Linked DNA regions of Arabidopsis thaliana. The protein of the gene in region 1 interacts with the protein of each later gene in a pairwise test. Each region holds a gene or a part of one and is shown on either strand. Other genes may lie near its edges.

Region 1 (8,651 bases):
AAAAACGGGATCATTTCCGAGATTCTCATAAATGATAAGGAAGGATCTTTGAGGATAATCTGAAATCAGGAAAAATTCTCGAAGTCCCCGAAGAATAAGAAATATTTCCTAAAGCGAAGATATTCTGGAACCGGATAAATGGATATATATACTAACAAATAAAACTACACCATTAATTGAAAATATATGCAATAAATTAAAAATTAGAAAACTACAAAAAAACAAATATATACAAATATTAAATACACTTACCATACATATATATTTTGAAAATTTAAATATTTAATTTTCGATATATATGTTTTTTATATTTGAGAAATTATTTATAATTTTCAGTTTTTCTGTATTCCAAATATAGAAAATACAATAGAAAAGACTTATGCGAATTATTTTAAATTTTCAGTTTTTCAGTTTTTATTTATTCCAAAAATACAATTGCAAAGACTTATGTGAATTCTAAAGAGATCTATAATTTTTCAAATAGAAGTCTTTATTTATATAAAATTAAATGTTTGAAAAATTTAAAAATATATAAGGGTTAGTTTATTTAATATTTTTATTTTTTAATTTTGTTATTTTAAATTTCTTGCATATATTTTCAATTAATAGTATATTATTATTTGTTAGTATATGTATGCAATGTTTGCTATTATTGTAAATTACTACCGTAAATCAGCGGTAGATTGTTCCTTATGAGTCCAATAGGTTATATGTTTAATTCCATGTGGACGCCAATCTTGCATCATTATTTTCTAATGAAATAACGTCGTTTTGGAGCTTTAAAAATGACGTCATTTCGATTTAACAGAAGATTAACTCTGTTAATCTGAATTTAACGACGTGCCCAAAATGGCCAAGTCAACGATATTTAACAATTTTTATTAAGTAAAAAACAAACGAAACTTTGTGACTTAAATAATATTTCGAAAGTTCTTGCATTTTCGTCCCAAATTTGAAAGTTCACGATTTGTTCTGACATTTTCCCTTTTCAAATAGGATCAATTTATCTTAATTAAGTACTCCTGTATTTTGAGCTAAGACGTAAAATCAATTCTTAAAGTGAAAATTTTGTATTGTTAATCTTAGAGTTTTCTGCAAAATAACCATTCAAGTAAATCTCGTTTGCAAGTTTACCCTCCAAGTCCGAAATATGCAAGTCAATCCCACAACCTCAAAAGTCACCCGCAATACAGCCCTCTCGTGTACCGATGACGTGGACCTCAATTACTCTTTTGGGTTTTGTGCAAAAAAACCCTCAATTTAATTTTCTTTTGCAAGACAAACCTCCATGTCAAATAAATACAGGTCAAACCACAATCTGAAAAATCTCTTGCAACATAGCCATTTCGTGTATCGATGACGTGACAGTCGATAACTCATTACTTTAATGCATATAATTTATAAGTCTATCGAATATATTACTTTAATGCATATAATTTAATAGAGTTATTGATTTAAGTTTTAAATAAAATAAAATTGAACTGATAGCCAAACAATTAACCGAAATATCCAGAAACTTAGTAAATATCCAAAATTAGTACCTATAACTATAATTCTAAACTTAAAATATTAATTATTTTTAGAACCAAAACAATCAAATACTTTAAATAATCAAAATATCCAAATATTGTTAGTTATATTTGTGAAAATTAAATACTCTTTTATAAAATAGAACCAAAATTTTAATTTTCTTTTCTAATATTTTCCTCTTTGTATTTTTTTTGTTAAGTTTGGTTAAATTTGGTTAAATTTGGTTAATTTTAGTTAATTTTGAAAGAAAGAAAAACGAATCTGAAAAAAATTTGGTTAGTTACGGTTATCGATTCAAAAATGAGTTATCGACTGTCACGTTATCAATACACGGAAGGGCTATGTTGCAAGATATTTTTTAGATTGTGGTTTGACCTGTATTTATTAGATATGAAGGTTTGTCTTGCAAAAAAAAAAAAAATTGAGAGTTTTTTTCATAAAACTCTTATGTTTTTAAAAAGAGTTATTGAGTGTCACATCATCGTTATACGGGAGAGTTGTATTGCGGGTGACTTTTGAGATTGTGGGATTGACTTGCATAATTCGGACTTTTAAGTTTATCATCCAACAATTGTCTCTCTTTTAGAAGAATTTACTTTTAACAGTCTTGAACTGATGGTTAGAGCAAGGAATTCCCACAACTTTGACTCTCCCACTTTATGTGACCTGCTTGTCTGAAATGTTCTCACCAATGGATTTCAATTTGAGCTACAATACAACTAATATTGAAGAAGCATAAAGAAAACTAGGCTCTCATAAATTTCCCAAGTATGAACATTTGAATGTTGGCAAATTGCACTTGTGTCAGATGCTCATTAAGAAATCTACATCATTTGCAAAAAAAAACACAGGAGAATGTACAACTTTGTCTCACAGAAGAAACGTAAATAAGGTATGGAAGATAGACTTATGTCGAATCAATTTCCTCGAAGTCGTCGAACTCAAGAAGCCTTGATGATTGCCCTGCTGCTTTCCCTTCACCACCAAAAACACACAAAGATTTCACATTTCCATAAAAAGGACAAACAATAAGCCGAGCCAGCGCGAATTAGATCATACCTTCGCAGCATCCTTAAGAGGTCCCCAACACTCGATCCGATTGTACTTAGGTGTGCTTGAATGGAAATAAACCCATACATAAGCATCCATTAGCTCAGGATTCTCTCTAAACATAACTGAATCTCCATGCACCACAGCTTTAAGTACCTATCTCAAACACAACACCAAAGAGTTATTAGATAGTCATTTTCACATTCATTAAGAACCAAATAGACAAAAGATGAAGAAGACTAACCAAAGGCAATTCCTTGGAGAAAATATGATACCTAAGCTCAGCAGCAACATCCTGCAATAAACTCATACCACTCACACAACAATGAATATGTAAACGCAGCTCATCATTCACCTTCTTCCACTCAGCAACCACATCATCTTTCTTGTACCAGCCTTCTAGTTGATCCAGATTGATAACGTTTGAGATTGTTAACGTTAAGTTAGCAGTGAAGTCACAATGCGAAAGAATATAAGTCCGCGGCGTAATAATTCCTCCGTTACTCTTGTTCTCCAATAACTCTCCTAAGAACTCAACTTTAAGCTTTGAAGAATCAAAGTTTGCTTGTGGAACCAAAAGCCTCACCGCCTAATAACACCATCAACATTCACATTATCAACTAACTCCACTACTTAAACATGTAATCAAATTTTGATCTTTTTTGCATTTTCAAGACCTCAAATTCAAAATTAAAGCTAGACCCAATTCAATTATGGTTATAAACAACAGAAATCTACAACCTTTACTAAAAAAATATCAATGAGGATTAAAACGAATTAACCCTAAAATTTGGCTTACCTCGGAGACTAGAGTATTGTAAAGTTCGATCTTTTTGCATTTTCAAGACCTCAAATTCAAAATTAAAGCCAGACCCAATTCAATTATGATCATAAACTACACAAATCTACTAAAAATCAAGATGAATTAGAAAATTTGCCCTGAAACTTGGCTTACCTCGGAGACTAGAGTATTGTAGGAGACACCACCGTCACTAATAGCGGAGCTTCGAGGAACACTAATTCTTCTATTCAAGAGATTGTTGCAGAAACGGTGGTGGTGGTGGTGACGGTGACTGAAGATTTCTCTATTGGGATGAGACAAAACAGGATGGTGGTAATAAGGAACGATGTAACAGGCCATGGAGGAACATAACAACAAGGTTAATGCATGAACAATAACAATGATTCTTCGTCATTGTTCATCTTCCACCATTTTTTCTTTTTTTGTCTTGAGAAACAGAGAAGAGATGTGGAAGAATGTGTTTTAGACGTAGCCACAAATTCAGTCTTGGTGACGAGCTTCTTTCTCCACACAAATTCGATTTTGCAAATTGATTTTGGATTTCGTGATATTATTTATTTATATCGAAATATTGTGATTGGTGGATGGAGTTGAGAGTTGTTCCACGTCAGCAAGTCCTTTTGTTTTTTTCATATCTATAGATAATGAGCTATGGTGGCTTCAATATTAGAGTCCAAGTTAATATAAAATGAATTGTATAATTTTATTATACAAGTTTGCAAAGGTACCAAATACCAAACTATATGATACATATCATTGGTGTATAACCAAGTTTATTTATATTTACAAAAAAAGTTCATTAGGGGGATCATATATATGAAAGTTGGCTAATACTCTCCATATGAGTGACACATCATCACACAAGAAAATGACAAGTGTAATTCTACATTAATTAAATTAAAAAACTAGCAAAACTAATTGAGAAAAAAACAAAAGTCTTTTGTTGTGTTAAATTCTCCATTAATCTCACTCTTAAATGAATTTTCTAAAACCATTCAATAAATAAAAATTATAATAATGTACCAAGCACAACTTTCATTCTATTCTATTTATTTAATTTTAAAAAATTTCATCTAGGTGGTCGCTAAATAATCGCAGAGGAGTCTCTACGATACTCGTTATTCATGTGATTCAATCGTAACTCAGTCGTTATATTTTACGAGTACAATATGACTAATGTTATGACAGCGGGTATTAGTCGTATCGTAGTCGTCATTTAGCGATTAAAGTTACGACTATTTTGTTTAGCGACTCTGGATTAACGACTAAGGCTATTACTCGTAATATAGTCGTAACTTCTACTTTAACGACTATATTGCTACTAATGTTGTAGTTTGAAAACCCGTGTTTTCTTGTAGTAGAGCGGGTGATTATCTAGTATTTCATTAAAAATGAAAACAACTTAGGTTACAATAGAAAAATTATAGACCTATACAATGGTTACATGGCAAAAGGTAAAAAGCATTTAAGCATAATACTATAATAATTTAGAGAATATATTTATTTGGAATTGGAGTTTTGGACTTTCTATAATAATAAAAAATAATATAAACAAGTATTGTATATTTTTTTAGAAAAACTTATTTTTTTGTTCTTTTCTCAAGGCTTATAGTTGATCTTACATACAGTAATTGCTACTTGATTTTATTATTTTTTCTTTAAAATTCAATTTAAATAGATTTATGTTTACCTAAAATATTATTATAAGAAATTTGGATTCTAATAGTATAATATCTTGCATATTATATTATTATGATAGTTGACATATATCATATATGTGAAAACTTAGAACTGATATTAAAGGAAATCTAAAGTCAATATTAGTAATACAGATTTATATATATATATATATATAATAACACCAAAACAAAGTTAAAACAACCAAAGAACGAAACATCTACCAAAAAGTCAAAAAGTAAATGAAAAAACTCTCGGTCTTTCTATTTGTTTTTAGCCTTTGCATGCTTCGTCATGTGTATGGCGCCGGGATCAGGATCTCGAACGAACTCAAATTCAAAAAAAATCTTTGGATGAGATGTTATTCCAAAGATGATGTATTAGGTCCAAATATAATACCAAACCGACAATATTATGAAAATATTTTCCATATTAACTTTTGGCATTCAACACGTTTTATGTGTACTTTGAGACAAGGTCCTAACTATATACACTATCAGAACTTTACAGTATTCAAGCTTTTTAGTTTGAGGGATCAAGGAGGCCTATGGGATTGGAGAGCAAGAGAAGATGGGATCTATTTAAAGAAAGAAGCTGGCGAGGCATTATTAAACCCAGTTTATATGCATAAAGTGCATGATTGGATATATTAAAAATATTAACAAGCTATATAAAAATGAAAAAGAAGAGTTTTCTTATGATTTAAAAACAACAGAAAATTATATATGTATGAGAAAACAATCTTCTCAAGTTATATATTGAAAGTTAGAAATATATATATATATTGATAAAATAGTATATTGATCTCAAGTATTATCATTTATCAAAGTAAAAAATAAAAATTATCAATTGGTAGTGAGACGTGGGTTAATGCTTCTATCTATGGAATTAGGGACGTCAAAATGGATCAAGTTTCATGGGTCAACCCAATTCAACTCAACCCATGAACCCTAATGAGATGAAATTTTTCACTCAAATGAATTGATAGTTCAAATGAGTTATTGGGTCAAATGGTTAGATGGATCAAATGAGTTGGGTTTCAATGGGTTAATGGTTTACCCATTTAACCCACCAATTTTGGCTAAATTGAATTAATCCAACTTAAATATCTAAATCGATATCAATTTGAGTTTAACCAAAACCTCTAAATCAATTGAATATAATCAATCTTTTTACAAATGGCTTCACCAACCCATCAATTTATTCATTATCAACACAATATCATCATCATCATTACCATCTCATAATATCATATTACCATCACCATCATCACCATACCATAATCATCATACTATCTTCATCACACAAAAAATGACATGTGTCATTATACATTAATTAAATTAAAAAACTAGCAAAACTAATTGAGAAAAAATCAAAAGTCTTTTGTTGTATTAAATTCTCCATTAATCTCACTCTTAAATGAATTTTCTAAAAACATTCAATAAAGAAAAAAATCATAATAATGTACCAAGCACTACTTTCATTATATTCTACTTATTTTATTTAAATTTTTTTTATCAATAGTCATAATCCATAATGGCTAAAAATTTACTTGTGTTGTAGTTTACATGTTTGCTACCTAACCTCATATTAATTTAGTAATTTTAGTTGGATATTTTATTATTATTATGTTTTGTGAATTTGATTTATCATATGACCTTCTTTCTGTACAATTTTGTGCGTTCTGATAACTTTATAACATTGATATACAATTTTTTCACGTAATAGTCATCCAAGACATTAGACATACCAAAAAAACAATAACATGAGACTCTATATGACTATATGGTAGGGATGAGAATTAAAGTGTTGACTTAAATTACTAGCATATCATGATGTGATTGTGTACTAGATGATGAGAGAATATATGGAATAAAGAATTGTTTGTTACAAATAAGTTAGGCAAATTTCAAAACACATAAGTAATATAACTACATACATTGTATCAATATATCATATATTGTTGTAGTATGTAATCATGATAGTGAAATATTAGAATAATAAATATATAAATATTCATATTGTAGTAGAATAGATATTTCGAGTTATACATGAATCTAATCATAAAAAATAATAATTATATTAAATAGATAAATTTATCAAAATGAACATCAAAATCAACAAAAACCCATATTCATATTTTTTTTTGACAATTTTAAAAACAAAAGCTCATGCGTAGCATATATTGGGGATGTATCAAGCCGTTTTGATGTTAAAGTCCTGGCCAATTTTATGCTCTTTCGTATCTCATCCAAAAAAAACTTTTGTTGAAATTTAAAGTTTATTACTATAATTATGCCTTATGCCATAATTATGTCTTTAATTATGTAACAAGCCGTTTGATGTTAAAGTCCTGACCTTGTACGATCTCCGGCTATATATCTTTTGTCTTTCAATTGATATAAGACTCAAAATGAGGCTTATATAAATGTCATAGTGATACTGATCGAACAAGCTTGTTTACGCTCTCTTGTTGGATCGGATCAAGGGATCATGAAAGTGGAACGATGGTACCACATAGATGATGAAAAGATTTCCGATACATTAAGGATATTTTGTCAAAGGGAAACCTGCACACGAAAATAAAGTTCAAAAGCTTTTATCGGCAATAACAGCTTGAGAGAATGACAAAAGAAAACGAGATCATTTTTCATGATATGAAAAAGTGTAAAAATGCAAAGCTGCAAAGAGATCTTAGAAATATGTCCATCAACCGTGATTTTTAAAGGTCAAGATTCAGAAGAAAAAAAGCTACATGGAAATGAAACAATTATATATAAACAATTCTAAAGCTATAAAGACAAACCAAAAATGGAAAGAAACAATTCTAAAAATGGAAAGAGTCTTTGGTTTCGTACAAATATTAAAAAATCTAAATAATTTAGATGTTCTCAGCCTCAAAACTATTAGGCATCCAAGTTAAACCTACCTTATTTTGACATAGCGTGAACCATGCATAAATTGACGTGGTGACTTCGTGGATTGATTCATTATTTTTGCTCTTGGCAAGTTTTTGAGATTTTTAGAATTCTCTGGTCCAGCCCTTGATCCTTGGCGTTCCTTCTTCAAATAGTACAATACATATTGAGTTCCTCTCGTTCATCTCGCAAACCAGTTCAAACTATAGTGCCGGCTCCGGCCTAAAACCCAACAAACAAAGACTTTAGGCGCCAAAATATTATATATTAATTTGACGGAATCAAAACAATAAAACCACTTTGATATATTTTTTAATATTTATGGACAAATATTTCTTTTGGCTTTAAGCAGCCAATATTGTTGGGCCATTTTTCCTCGATCATTTTCTTCTCCTTGTTTCTTTGTGTTTCATTATAAAAGACTATAATTTAGGTACAAATAATTTAACAGGTGTTTCATTGTAAAAGAAACAATTGACTTATGATTTGTTCTATTGTGATCAAGTTGGTCTTAAGATAAGAATTTTAAGTAAAAAGTCTAGGCTTTGTATTTGATTGTTAAAGACAATAAGGTATTTAACAATAAGGTATTAATGGATTGCAATATATTAGCATTATTGACTTAGAATTGGTGTATGTTTCAATAATAATTAGTGTCAACAATGTGGTTATAT
Region 2 (10,078 bases), on another chromosome or scaffold:
AAATTCCATTCACATCCTTGACAATTTCTTAATATCTTATATCTTAAGCTAATTAGCAAAGCAAGTTTACTGCAAAAGGGTAAAGAAGTGATGGATTGGGAATTAATCAGCTTCGAGGGCTTCAATCTCATACCGAATGTCTTCCAAATACTCATTGATGCTAGTCACAGCATCTTGCACTCCTCTAATGGCCTCCTTCAAAGCGTTATCAAACTCTGCATCTGCTTCTGCTTCCTCTGTTCCTGCAGCTTCAGTAATCTCATGAAGATGCACGCACTCGTGTTGCATAGGCTTCTTGAATTTGCAGTTCTCATGTGTCAGCATTCGTTCTGACGGTCTTCCTGCCTTCTTCAGTACCTGTATTGTAACAGTCTGCGAAAAAAGTGAACTAAAGTAAGATTCTTACTTTTGTTCAACCGTTGAGATATCTAGATTAGAGTAAATGGGTATGAAACCAGATGCAATTTCTGCTTCTCTTGAGTTTGAATGTCGCTGAGAAGTTTAGCAAGATCAGCTCTTCCAACTTCTGGATTTAGAAACAGAGATTCCATTTCGCGCACCTGTCATCAAAGGGCTCAATCTTTAACAACACAAGGTTGAACAACACTGTGAAGGTGTAATCAAATACTCTCAGATAAGATCCATACTTGTTTCGAACATTCACTGAACTCCGTTGTAATCTCGCTGCACAGCTTCTGATAAAGTGCTTCAGCACCAGACTCCACATACTCTGAGAATCCACTGATAATTGAATTCGAAAACATAGTCAGCTCAGATTAATAGAGGAAGATCTCAGTAACAAAAACATGGAAATCTACGAATATAAAAAACATCTCCCTCTCTATCCTTCACACTATTTGCCTCAATTTCAACATTCACCAACAAAGTCTAACTCTCAGGCAATGGATCAATTGGAACTTAACAAAACCGCAACAAATAAACTAACTCTTTGAGAGATTTCCAATGAATCAATCGAACCTTTTGAGATTGGCGTAAGCCTGAGCTCGGCGCTGCTGAATCTCCAACAGACTCCGAAGCAGGACCAGGGTTTGAGAGGCGACGCCGGAGCCCACCGTCGAACTAGTAGACCCGACACCGGAACCGCCGCATTCGTTCTCAATATCGCCGGAGAGGGAATCTCTGAGGGAAACCTTCTTCTGGAAATCTTCGGCACTCATCGTCCGATCTTTCTCTCCGACTCTTTTCGTCTTCTCAAACACGACAGAGAGAGAGAGACGAAGAAGCAAAGAGAAAGTTGCGAACTAACCGGTTTAGTCGATTTTACTAAATTGAACCGTAATTTGATTTTAATCGCTTTGATATCAAGTCCGGTTGAGGCGGTTCTTCGGTTTTACCCGGTTTGATTGGTTTGGAATGACATTTTTGCTGCTTGTTAAATTGTAAACTAGACCACAGGCATTTGGATCCCAGTCTCGACAAATCTGGTCTGATTCTCAAAATAGTGCCTATAAATTATTATGGTTGGAAAAAAAAAACTGACTTTTAAATCATCACTTCAATCATTAACTGAGAAATCTCACATTTTTGCAAATGAGCTTAAATCCAAATTGTACAATAGATTGCATGTTTTGGAGTTGTCATGAACAAAATGTAGAGGTTTTTATTTACCATTGAACAAACTGAGAAAGCAATACAATTCTAATACTTAGTTTGACACCTACTCTTCAGTAACATACCTGTTCTTCCTTGCTCCCAACGCAACTCTCTGAAACAAATTCCCAAAATTTGACAAAGAAAAAAACAAATTGGTTAAGTAATTTGCAGAAATAGTTTACATGCTTTGATTTACTTCTACGCAGAGCTATTAATCGTCTTAACTGAGAATATTTTGGTGTAGGCTTTGATTCCAGTTAGGAAACGGATGTAAGTCGGCTTCATAGATCCGCTAGCCGGTATTGCCCTTATGTTTGGGACAAGGTACTCAGCCACCTGCAAACGAATGTGTGATCATGAATCATGGGGCTAGAGATTAGAGATCGTGTCAAATTGTTGTGCTAAAAAGAATTAAGAGTTAATGGGTTCTTACCACTTCGGCTGGCTCTGCCAAAACATTAATGAAGAACTTGGCCTGCAATAGAGAACGTATTAGAGAGAATCTCTTGAAATGGAATCTAAATATTTCCTCAGTGTTAAGTCATCGAACTTGTTTTGTAGTTGCTCCGGACATGAGCAGATCAGTTGTGACCATTCCAGGCTGCAACAATAATCCAGAGAAAACACATTAGAATTATGATCATGTTTAGATCCTGAATTCATTCAAATTGTTCAAATAACTATAATCCATCCATTCTATTCATCTCTATGCGCATGTCTGTATCAGTGTATTTAGGAAGACACTAAAAACAACCAAAAATGAAATGAAGCAATATATTGTATTCATACCGATAGATTATGCACCACGACATTTTTGACATCTTGCATCTGCAACTCTGCCTATGAAAGACAGGAATTACTAGAGAAGTCATATAAGGAGAAGGGAAAACGAAGAAGAGTTCAACAGATATAACTCTGGCATTACCTGTAATGACTTTGTCAGGTGAACGACACTCCGTTTAGTTGCACCATATGCAGCAAATCTGTCAAACGTTAATCAAAAAAATGCTATTAGACAGTACAGAGAAGAGAGCCTAAAGGAGATTTACTAAAGCATGTTCCCAAGAAACTTTAATGAATCTAGCAAACCTGGGTGTTGGTCTCCCATCTGAACCAGCTCCATCAATATTGAAGATATGACCACCTCGAGATTGGGTCAACATCATATTCATTGCCTAATAATCATGAACACATGTCAGTAAATCCAACTGATAATAACAAAAGACACGCTGAATTCATCTCCTTATAACATCTTTGACTACCTCTCGGCAACATAACATGAGACCTAGAGTGTTGGTTTTCACAACTTCACTGCATAAAGATTTCAAAAAGTAAATGACTGAAACCAATCACATAGAAACTAACGAAGAGAAGGATCAAGCTTAACACAAGACTTACATAAGATCCTCATCTGAGGCCTCTGCCAAAGGTTTAAAGCTATATGCATTAGATCCCGCATTATTTATCTGTATCATCTCAAGATGGTATTATAAGACTATTTCTATGGTTACAAAATTGAAAAGAAAACATAGTAAAATACTCTGAACAACATTAACACAGATGTCACCAACAAATGAACGTTCTTCATAGTTTTGAGAGTGTACCCAAATGTCAATGTATTTAAGATTCTTCTGACTATAAGCTACAAGTTCCCTCACATCCTTCCCTTCCGTAACATCACACTTAGTTCCCTACTAAGAGAAAATGGTTTCATGATATCAATGCACATAAAGCAAAAACCTTGGAAGACCACACGAATGGAAAAGAACAGTAAAAGAAGGCGGTACCCACACATGCTCCCCAAATTCTTCCTTAAGACTCTGAACAGCAGTCTCAACTCGTTCAGCTGCAAGACAGGAACAGCCATAACAGCAAAATTCTACTGAAGATTGGTTCTATTACTTGCTTGCATGTTTCCTTACAGACACACAAACTCTAGAAAAGGAGTTCAAGACAACAATGGGGACAGGTTCTAACCTGATCTAGAGCAAATCACAACATTGTCGCCTGCTTTCAGAAACTCTCTAGCTAATGCATATCCTATACCTGAACAATCAATAAATCAAAAACCACTCTTTAGAGACACAATGAGATAAAAAAATATGTTTTTTCCCTTCTGAAGATTAAAAACTCGAGTCAATTGACAAAGACAGAGTGAATGAAACCTTTGGTTGAGCCAGTGATCAATATGTTATACGGAGGCGTCATAGGTTCTCTTTTCCCTGAGATACGAGCTTCCACCGCCGCAGACGACGGAGTAACCGTGAGGTTTTGGCGCGTAACAACGACAGTTGCGAGACCAAAGCGTTCTGCCAGTAACCGACGCCGGCAAATAGGAGAGAGAAACGGAAGCTTAGTGACATTTGAGACGGAGGAAGACCGAAGCCTAAGCAACGGAGAAGAAGAGACGTTGAAACCACTCCAAGTAGCCATTACAGAAGCTCAAAGAGAGAGAGAGAGAGAGTTGCGTAAGCGAGCAAGCTCAGAGAGAGTTAAATGCCACGTGGCGGCATATAAGATGATAATAACCCCAATTATTGTTCAAAATACATCATAGCCCCTAAAGTTTCTAGATTTTATGTTTATAACCCTACACTATTGTTCTGCCCCAAAAACGACACTATAGTTACATAGTGACTACTGAAGTATAATTTCTCTATCTGCTTTGGTTGGTATTTGAGATCGTCCAAAGCACAGTTACACAAACCAAATCTGTCTGCGAAAAAACCTACAGAGATTCAATTACTTGCCCTTGGATCGCCTGCGCCGTCCTCCAAGGAGTTTAAGCATGTTATCAGTAACATCAGGTGGAGAATCTGCATCCTCATTGTGTTGGCCAGTACTATTATCAGAGGTATGAGTCAACCAAGCTAAGGCCTCAACAGCAGCATCTTTCTCAGCGAGCGTTTTATTCCTCTGAGGCTTCCCAACGAACTGCATTCCTTTAAACTCCACAAGTGCTCTGAATTCGTTTGTCTTGAGATGTTTTGTCTTGTACTTTGGAGGTGAGTGTCCAGCTCTCATCAAAAGTGTCTGAAGGAGACTCTTCGGGTTTGTCCCGTCTTTGGAGTGTTTGTTCTCTCCTATTTGCGGTTGGCTTGGCCTCTTTGTGTCACGGCCAAAGACAAATCTGCCTTCGCATTGGTCTCCAGCCACAAGTTCTTGAACTGCAAGCATGAGGTACTTGCCTTCTTTGTGGATGTCCATGCTTGGATCTTCAAGCTGCAAATCGTAAAGATACTAAAGGTGTTAAAGTGCTGCACTACGAACACTTTTTCCTTTTAAAATTGAAAAAAACTCGCCTTTTTTTGAAGAAGCTTATCGAGTTCTTCCTTCAGCTTTACATAGGACTCAGCCAAATTTGGATCCATGAAGAAATCAATGTACCCGTCAAGCATTTTTAGATGTCCCACCTGGAAACAACACAACATTCAATCCATTCGATTCCGGAGTATTCCATAATCTGACTAGTGTAAGGGTTAAAAAGAGGAAAATGAGAGAAATCACCTGTACTCCCGTGCTCAATGAACCACCAAAAAGGATCAAACTGGAATCAGGGACACCAGTGGAGTCCCGTATGAGTACCGCATTGACCTTTACTTTCTCTCCAAAGACTAGCCAAGGGTATGGAATTGTTGGGAACCGCGAATTAACAGAATTCTGAAACATAGAAACCGTAAAAACCATTTAAATAAAAAAGATGGCCATATCGAGAGACTCAAGTAATGATGTTGGGAAATACGAATGAAGAGGCTCACCGCGTATAGTGATACTTGGCCATCATCCATTGTCTTGAATGACATGGAAGTCTCTCTGTGCTGTGCAAAGAAAAAGGACAACAAGGTTATTTCACCGAAATCTCTGACACGAGAAAGGAGACTTAGCCAGAGACATGGGTCTTAGACTTACCACAACAGATGCTATTCCAGGGAATAGGCCAGAGCAAATGACAGCACGAACCAGAGACTGGTTGTGACTTAGCTTGTTGTTGAGAGCTAAATCATCATGAACTAAGCCAGCTTCTTTCAAAATATAGTTGAACTGCTTCCTCAGAGAATGTATCGCCTGAAGCGTCTGAGCTGACAGGAAATTCCTCCAACAAAACTCATAAGCCGATCCTTCTCTTTCAGCATCTTTCCACCCTTCAAAGGCACGAACGAGTGCCATATGGTCACTGTAGTCTTTGGCTGAGAATCTCAACTTGGCTGATAAAGCTAACTAAAATAAAACAAGGAAATCATCTCTCAGTTTGAGAGATTAAACCACAACATACTTCATAAAAAGTTATATATCCATCTATCTATTGGCTTAAAACCGCCTATAAAAACCCACTCTTCAATAAAATTCAAAAGACCAAAAAGTAAGTTTTAAAAACATTTATTTGCCAATTAATCAACCAATCACCGTACATCATGATAAAAATAAATGTTCGTCCATGAGTCCTTATACTTACGTCTTTTTTGTCTTGAGGTAGAAGGAAAGGATCTCTGACACTTAGCCCTGATACAATTGTCAGGATCGGATCAAAGCAGCGGAAGATGGCACCCATTATCAGCATTTTCCCCAACTTGGGATCAACAGGAAGAATCGATAAGAGTTTTCCTAGTTGGAACAGGCCAAAAATACAACAAGCAGGAAAGTCAGTCATGATACATGTAGTATAAGAAAGAGTTGGACCATTTTTTGTACAGGACTTAGAACACAAACCAAGATCCGTTAGATTTTCCTTCTCATCCAGTGCTCCGATCATTTTCAGGAATCCAATAGCATTTTGAACCTGTCATGATATTTACAGTTATGTTGACTAATTTTGAGACAATAAGAATCATATCTTCCACATACAAAAAAATCTGATAATCAATCAAAGATGTTACTAGTAACATGGAAATTGGCGAAATCTCTATGAACACATTTATCTGTCACTTACAGCCAAAGACTCTGGAGCCTGAAGTGCAGCTGACAAGAATTCTGCAATGCTTTCAACCTGAAGACTTTTAATTTGCAGGCAGAGAGAGTTTAAAGGAGTTCTCAGAAGTTCAGGAAGTTGATACTCTGCAAAAGCATCATAGACGCATTTGGGGTACAGGTGATAGCATTCTCCCGGAAACAGACGCCCAGCTCTTCCCCTTCTCTGAAGGCCAAATAGAGGGGAAATGTTGGACATACCAAATGAGAAAGCTTTATAGCTATCAAAAGATGTACCAGATAGCAAAATGGATGTTCTGAAATTGCAACAATGATAATCATGCAATCAAATCATATAGAGGAGTCAATGTTCTGAAATCAAAAATAAGAACGATGCAAAACACAAGAAAGATCTATTTACAACAATAGGTTTTAGTATAATGTATTCACCTGTCTCGCAGAAGCTTGAGATATCCAAGAAGGTAGCAGACAAGGTGTATTGTTCAAAGCATCATAGGTGGTCTCTTTTGCTTTTCCACAGTCAACCACAAACACTACATCGTTTATTGTAATACTAGCTTCTGCCATGTTTGTAGCAAGAACAATTTTGCGAATATTAGGAGGTGCTCTCTCAAAAATGAGTCTCTGCGTAAACATCAACGAAATATGTTAAATAAGTTACAATTAGTACTTCTCCAGAGTCGTGACTCAAATTGAAAGGAAACAAAGTAACACGTGAGGATATAAATCAACCTGCTCAGCAGTTGCCATTGAACCGTGGCACATTAATAGCAAAACCCTGTTCGGATCTCCCAAGAGAGGATGGGCTTTAATTTGGTCGCTCAGGGATCTGATATCATCCCATCCTGTCAAAAATACTAATACAGCACCTGGACGTTCTTTTCGGCATATGTGACAGAGAACAGCCTCAATGAGATTAAATCCTATGCAGTCAGGCATCCAAGACGAAAGAGAATCACGTGTCCTAGAGTTATAGCTTTCAAAATTTGACTTGCTGAGAGCTTCCTGCAATTTTAAAGAAACAATGGTGAACAATGTTATTGGAATATTTGGTCTGCTCAGCAAACCTAGTTGACCAACAGAAACACAGTTAGTTAAACTTGCAAATTAGAGTTAATTCTAAGGAATTTCCAGTTGATGTAAAAAATTAGCCAAGTACCTCAACAAGAGTAGTGATCTGGTTTTTTCTTTTGCGAGGCATTAACTGTTTTTGCGTTTTCCACGTCTTTTCTTGGCCATAATCATCAACTTGATTAAAAGAGGTCAGCTTATATCCCGTTATTTCCAGTACATCCTCCAAAAAATGTGCTTTCACTGGATGTGTGAAGCCCTGAAAATATATATACATTCAAGGCTTCCCATAGAAACAACTCGAAACACGGAAATCATGCTGAATATCTAGAGTGTCAAGACTATTGAGGAAGAACATTGTCTTACAGGAATGTGAATGGTAGGTGCCCCTCCATAGTAATTAGAAAAGAGTTCAGCATTCAAAGTGGCACTCATGAGAACCAATCTCAGATCTGGACGCCGTGGAAGAAGCTCCTTTAACACTATAATTAAGAAATCTGCAACCAAGAAGTGAGGGGCATATTATTATGAGACTCTATTTGCAGAAACCTAAACATACATTAGATATATAGATATGTACCTTCATTCATGCCCCTTTCATGAATCTCATCAACAAAAACATGTGTAACTCCATTCAAATTGCGATCACTAAGCAGCCGTCTGAGAAGGATACCACTTGTACAAAATAGAAGGTGGGTATTCTTTCCTCTCATTCCTTCTAGACGAACTTTAAACCCAACCTATCGGAAATTCTCTGTTAGGTATGAAGTCATGAATAAACAAGCATCTTTTAACAAAGTATTAGTGTTAATTGGAGTAATCAGACAGCTTTTGAATCGATGCTCAATTGAAGGACAAGGATTTTGGCTAACCGTTTCACCAAGAGGTTCTCCTCTTTCAGCTGACACTCTTTCTGAAACTGCCATGGCAGATATTCTCCTAGGTTGAGTACAAATGATGTTGCAGAATGCTCCCCGACCAGACTCTATCTCTGATTCCAAAATGTATTGTGGAAGCTGAGTTGTCTTACCACATCCAGTCTCCCCAGATACAACTATCACCTGAGAATTTGAGAGTTGAGATCAAAAAATTAATTTCCATGCATTGCTGCATTGCGAAGATATCCCGCTCTAAAATTCACCTGGTTCCGAGCAATAGCTTGAAGAAGTCTTTCTTTGTCCTTGAATGAAGGCAAAGTTTTCCTGAATTCCAGCATCGTCCGTCCCTCAGGGGATTCCTATTATTCAACCAAATAACTACTGCTATAGCAGAAAGTTTTTGATAAAAAGACAAGAGGCGTGGGGTAAAGATGATTGAGTAATACCTGCCAGGTTCTCTGCATATTGCGCATCCGCATACTCCTCCTCTGAAGTACCTTCTCCATAACAGAACCATCGAGAAACGAATCAGAATTTTCATCGGGAAGTTCTTCAGTCTGTTTAGGAGGTTGAGAATCAGCTACGCATTCATTAGCCTTTCCTGAGCTTAGCTGCTGACTATCAAGATGTTCCTGGAGGAGTCCCTCTACCCTTCTTTGCAAACTCAACGGAAGCACCACCTGCACGATGAGATGCATTACAATTTCAGCATAAAACTACAAATAAAAACTGTGCATTATGATTTTGGTAAACCAAGGGAGACACTGTTACCTCCCGTTGTGGTCGCTTATCATCCAAATCTGGTCGGTAGTTAGGAAGAGGAACCTTGCTTGCAACAACCACTTTTCCATAAATTTCACTGTTAAATTGGAACCAAGAATTGGGTTAGCACATAGCGCACACAAACACATAGGGTTATTTGATTCCAATAAAAGTCAGTTTTCTATACCTGTAAAGTCCCATTCTCTTAGCAAGATTTGAGATCTGCTCATAATCTCTTCGATCCCTTTTGTCTCTGGAAACAATTTCTTGTTCACTATCATTGGCCAACAAAATTCCTAACTTCCACTTCCACTCATCAACATTGGCCACAGAAGATGAAGCCTATAAAACCAATTCACGCCTAGGATCAAATCATTTCCCAAGTATAAAGGATCAAACAGAAAATGTTCAAAGACTCTCATTTACATAGTCATTCCACCAAACAATCTAATCGACAAACACCTAAAAATTCCATTTTGAGAAACTTTTTACTCTGGAGATCAACACAAATGTTGATTGATTGATTCCATTTATCTAAACAATTTAGCATCATGAACAAAACACGAACCTTATGTTCCTCGAATTCACACTCGTACTCATCATCCGAGAACTGTTCCGCAGTGTGCCCGATGAAACGACGACGTATCGGGTAGTACAATCCCGTAACACCATCACCATTACGACTCGAAATCAGAAACGCCGGAGAACTAGTAGAGACCGGACCAACGATATAAGACCTGCATAAAGTCGGATTTCCCAATAGAGAGCGACTATGAATCCTGGTCGTCTGCCCCAAGAAGAGGCTTATTCTTTTTGTGAAACGCATT

The links.
Region 2: the proteins of AT1G44000 (region 1) and NOL interact in a two-hybrid assay, tested with the Arabidopsis thaliana proteins (one study listed by BioGRID).

What each region holds. Positions count from the first base shown.
Region 1 is NC_003070.9:16,705,801-16,714,451, forward strand, and holds AT1G44000 (STAY-GREEN-like protein), read right to left. Parts: upstream 3,914-8,651; 5' UTR 3,722-3,913; coding exon 3,536-3,721; intron 3,170-3,535; coding exon 2,825-3,169; intron 2,737-2,824; coding exon 2,590-2,736; intron 2,506-2,589; coding exon 2,401-2,505; 3' UTR 2,204-2,400; downstream 1-2,203. UniProt on the Arabidopsis thaliana protein: Magnesium chelatase involved in chlorophyll a degradation in the chlorophyll-protein complexes of photosystem I (PSI) and photosystem II (PSII). Contributes to the degradation of PSI and PSII in the thylakoid membranes.
Region 2 is NC_003076.8:1,428,795-1,438,872, reverse strand, and holds NOL (NYC1-like protein), read right to left. Parts: upstream 4,100-10,078; 5' UTR 4,048-4,099; coding exon 3,780-4,047; intron 3,661-3,779; coding exon 3,592-3,660; intron 3,461-3,591; coding exon 3,402-3,460; intron 3,306-3,401; coding exon 3,219-3,305; intron 3,081-3,218; coding exon 3,013-3,080; intron 2,926-3,012; coding exon 2,877-2,925; intron 2,790-2,876; coding exon 2,704-2,789; intron 2,598-2,703; coding exon 2,540-2,597; intron 2,455-2,539; coding exon 2,404-2,454; intron 2,216-2,403; coding exon 2,165-2,215; intron 2,090-2,164; coding exon 2,048-2,089; intron 1,951-2,047; coding exon 1,840-1,950; intron 1,727-1,839; coding exon 1,679-1,726; 3' UTR 1,378-1,678; downstream 1-1,377. Other genes in the region: AT5G04910 (DNA repair REX1-B protein), read right to left, coding at 103-372, 456-560, 648-741, 979-1,178; ABO6 (DEA(D/H)-box RNA helicase family protein), read right to left, coding at 4,357-4,836, 4,917-5,027, 5,122-5,274, 5,373-5,432, 5,524-5,832, 6,068-6,216, 6,322-6,391, 6,542-6,745 and 11 more. UniProt on the Arabidopsis thaliana protein: Required for chlorophyll b degradation. Chlorophyll b, chlorophyllide b, pheophorbide b and pheophytin b can be used as substrates. Belongs to the chlorophyll catabolic enzymes (CCEs).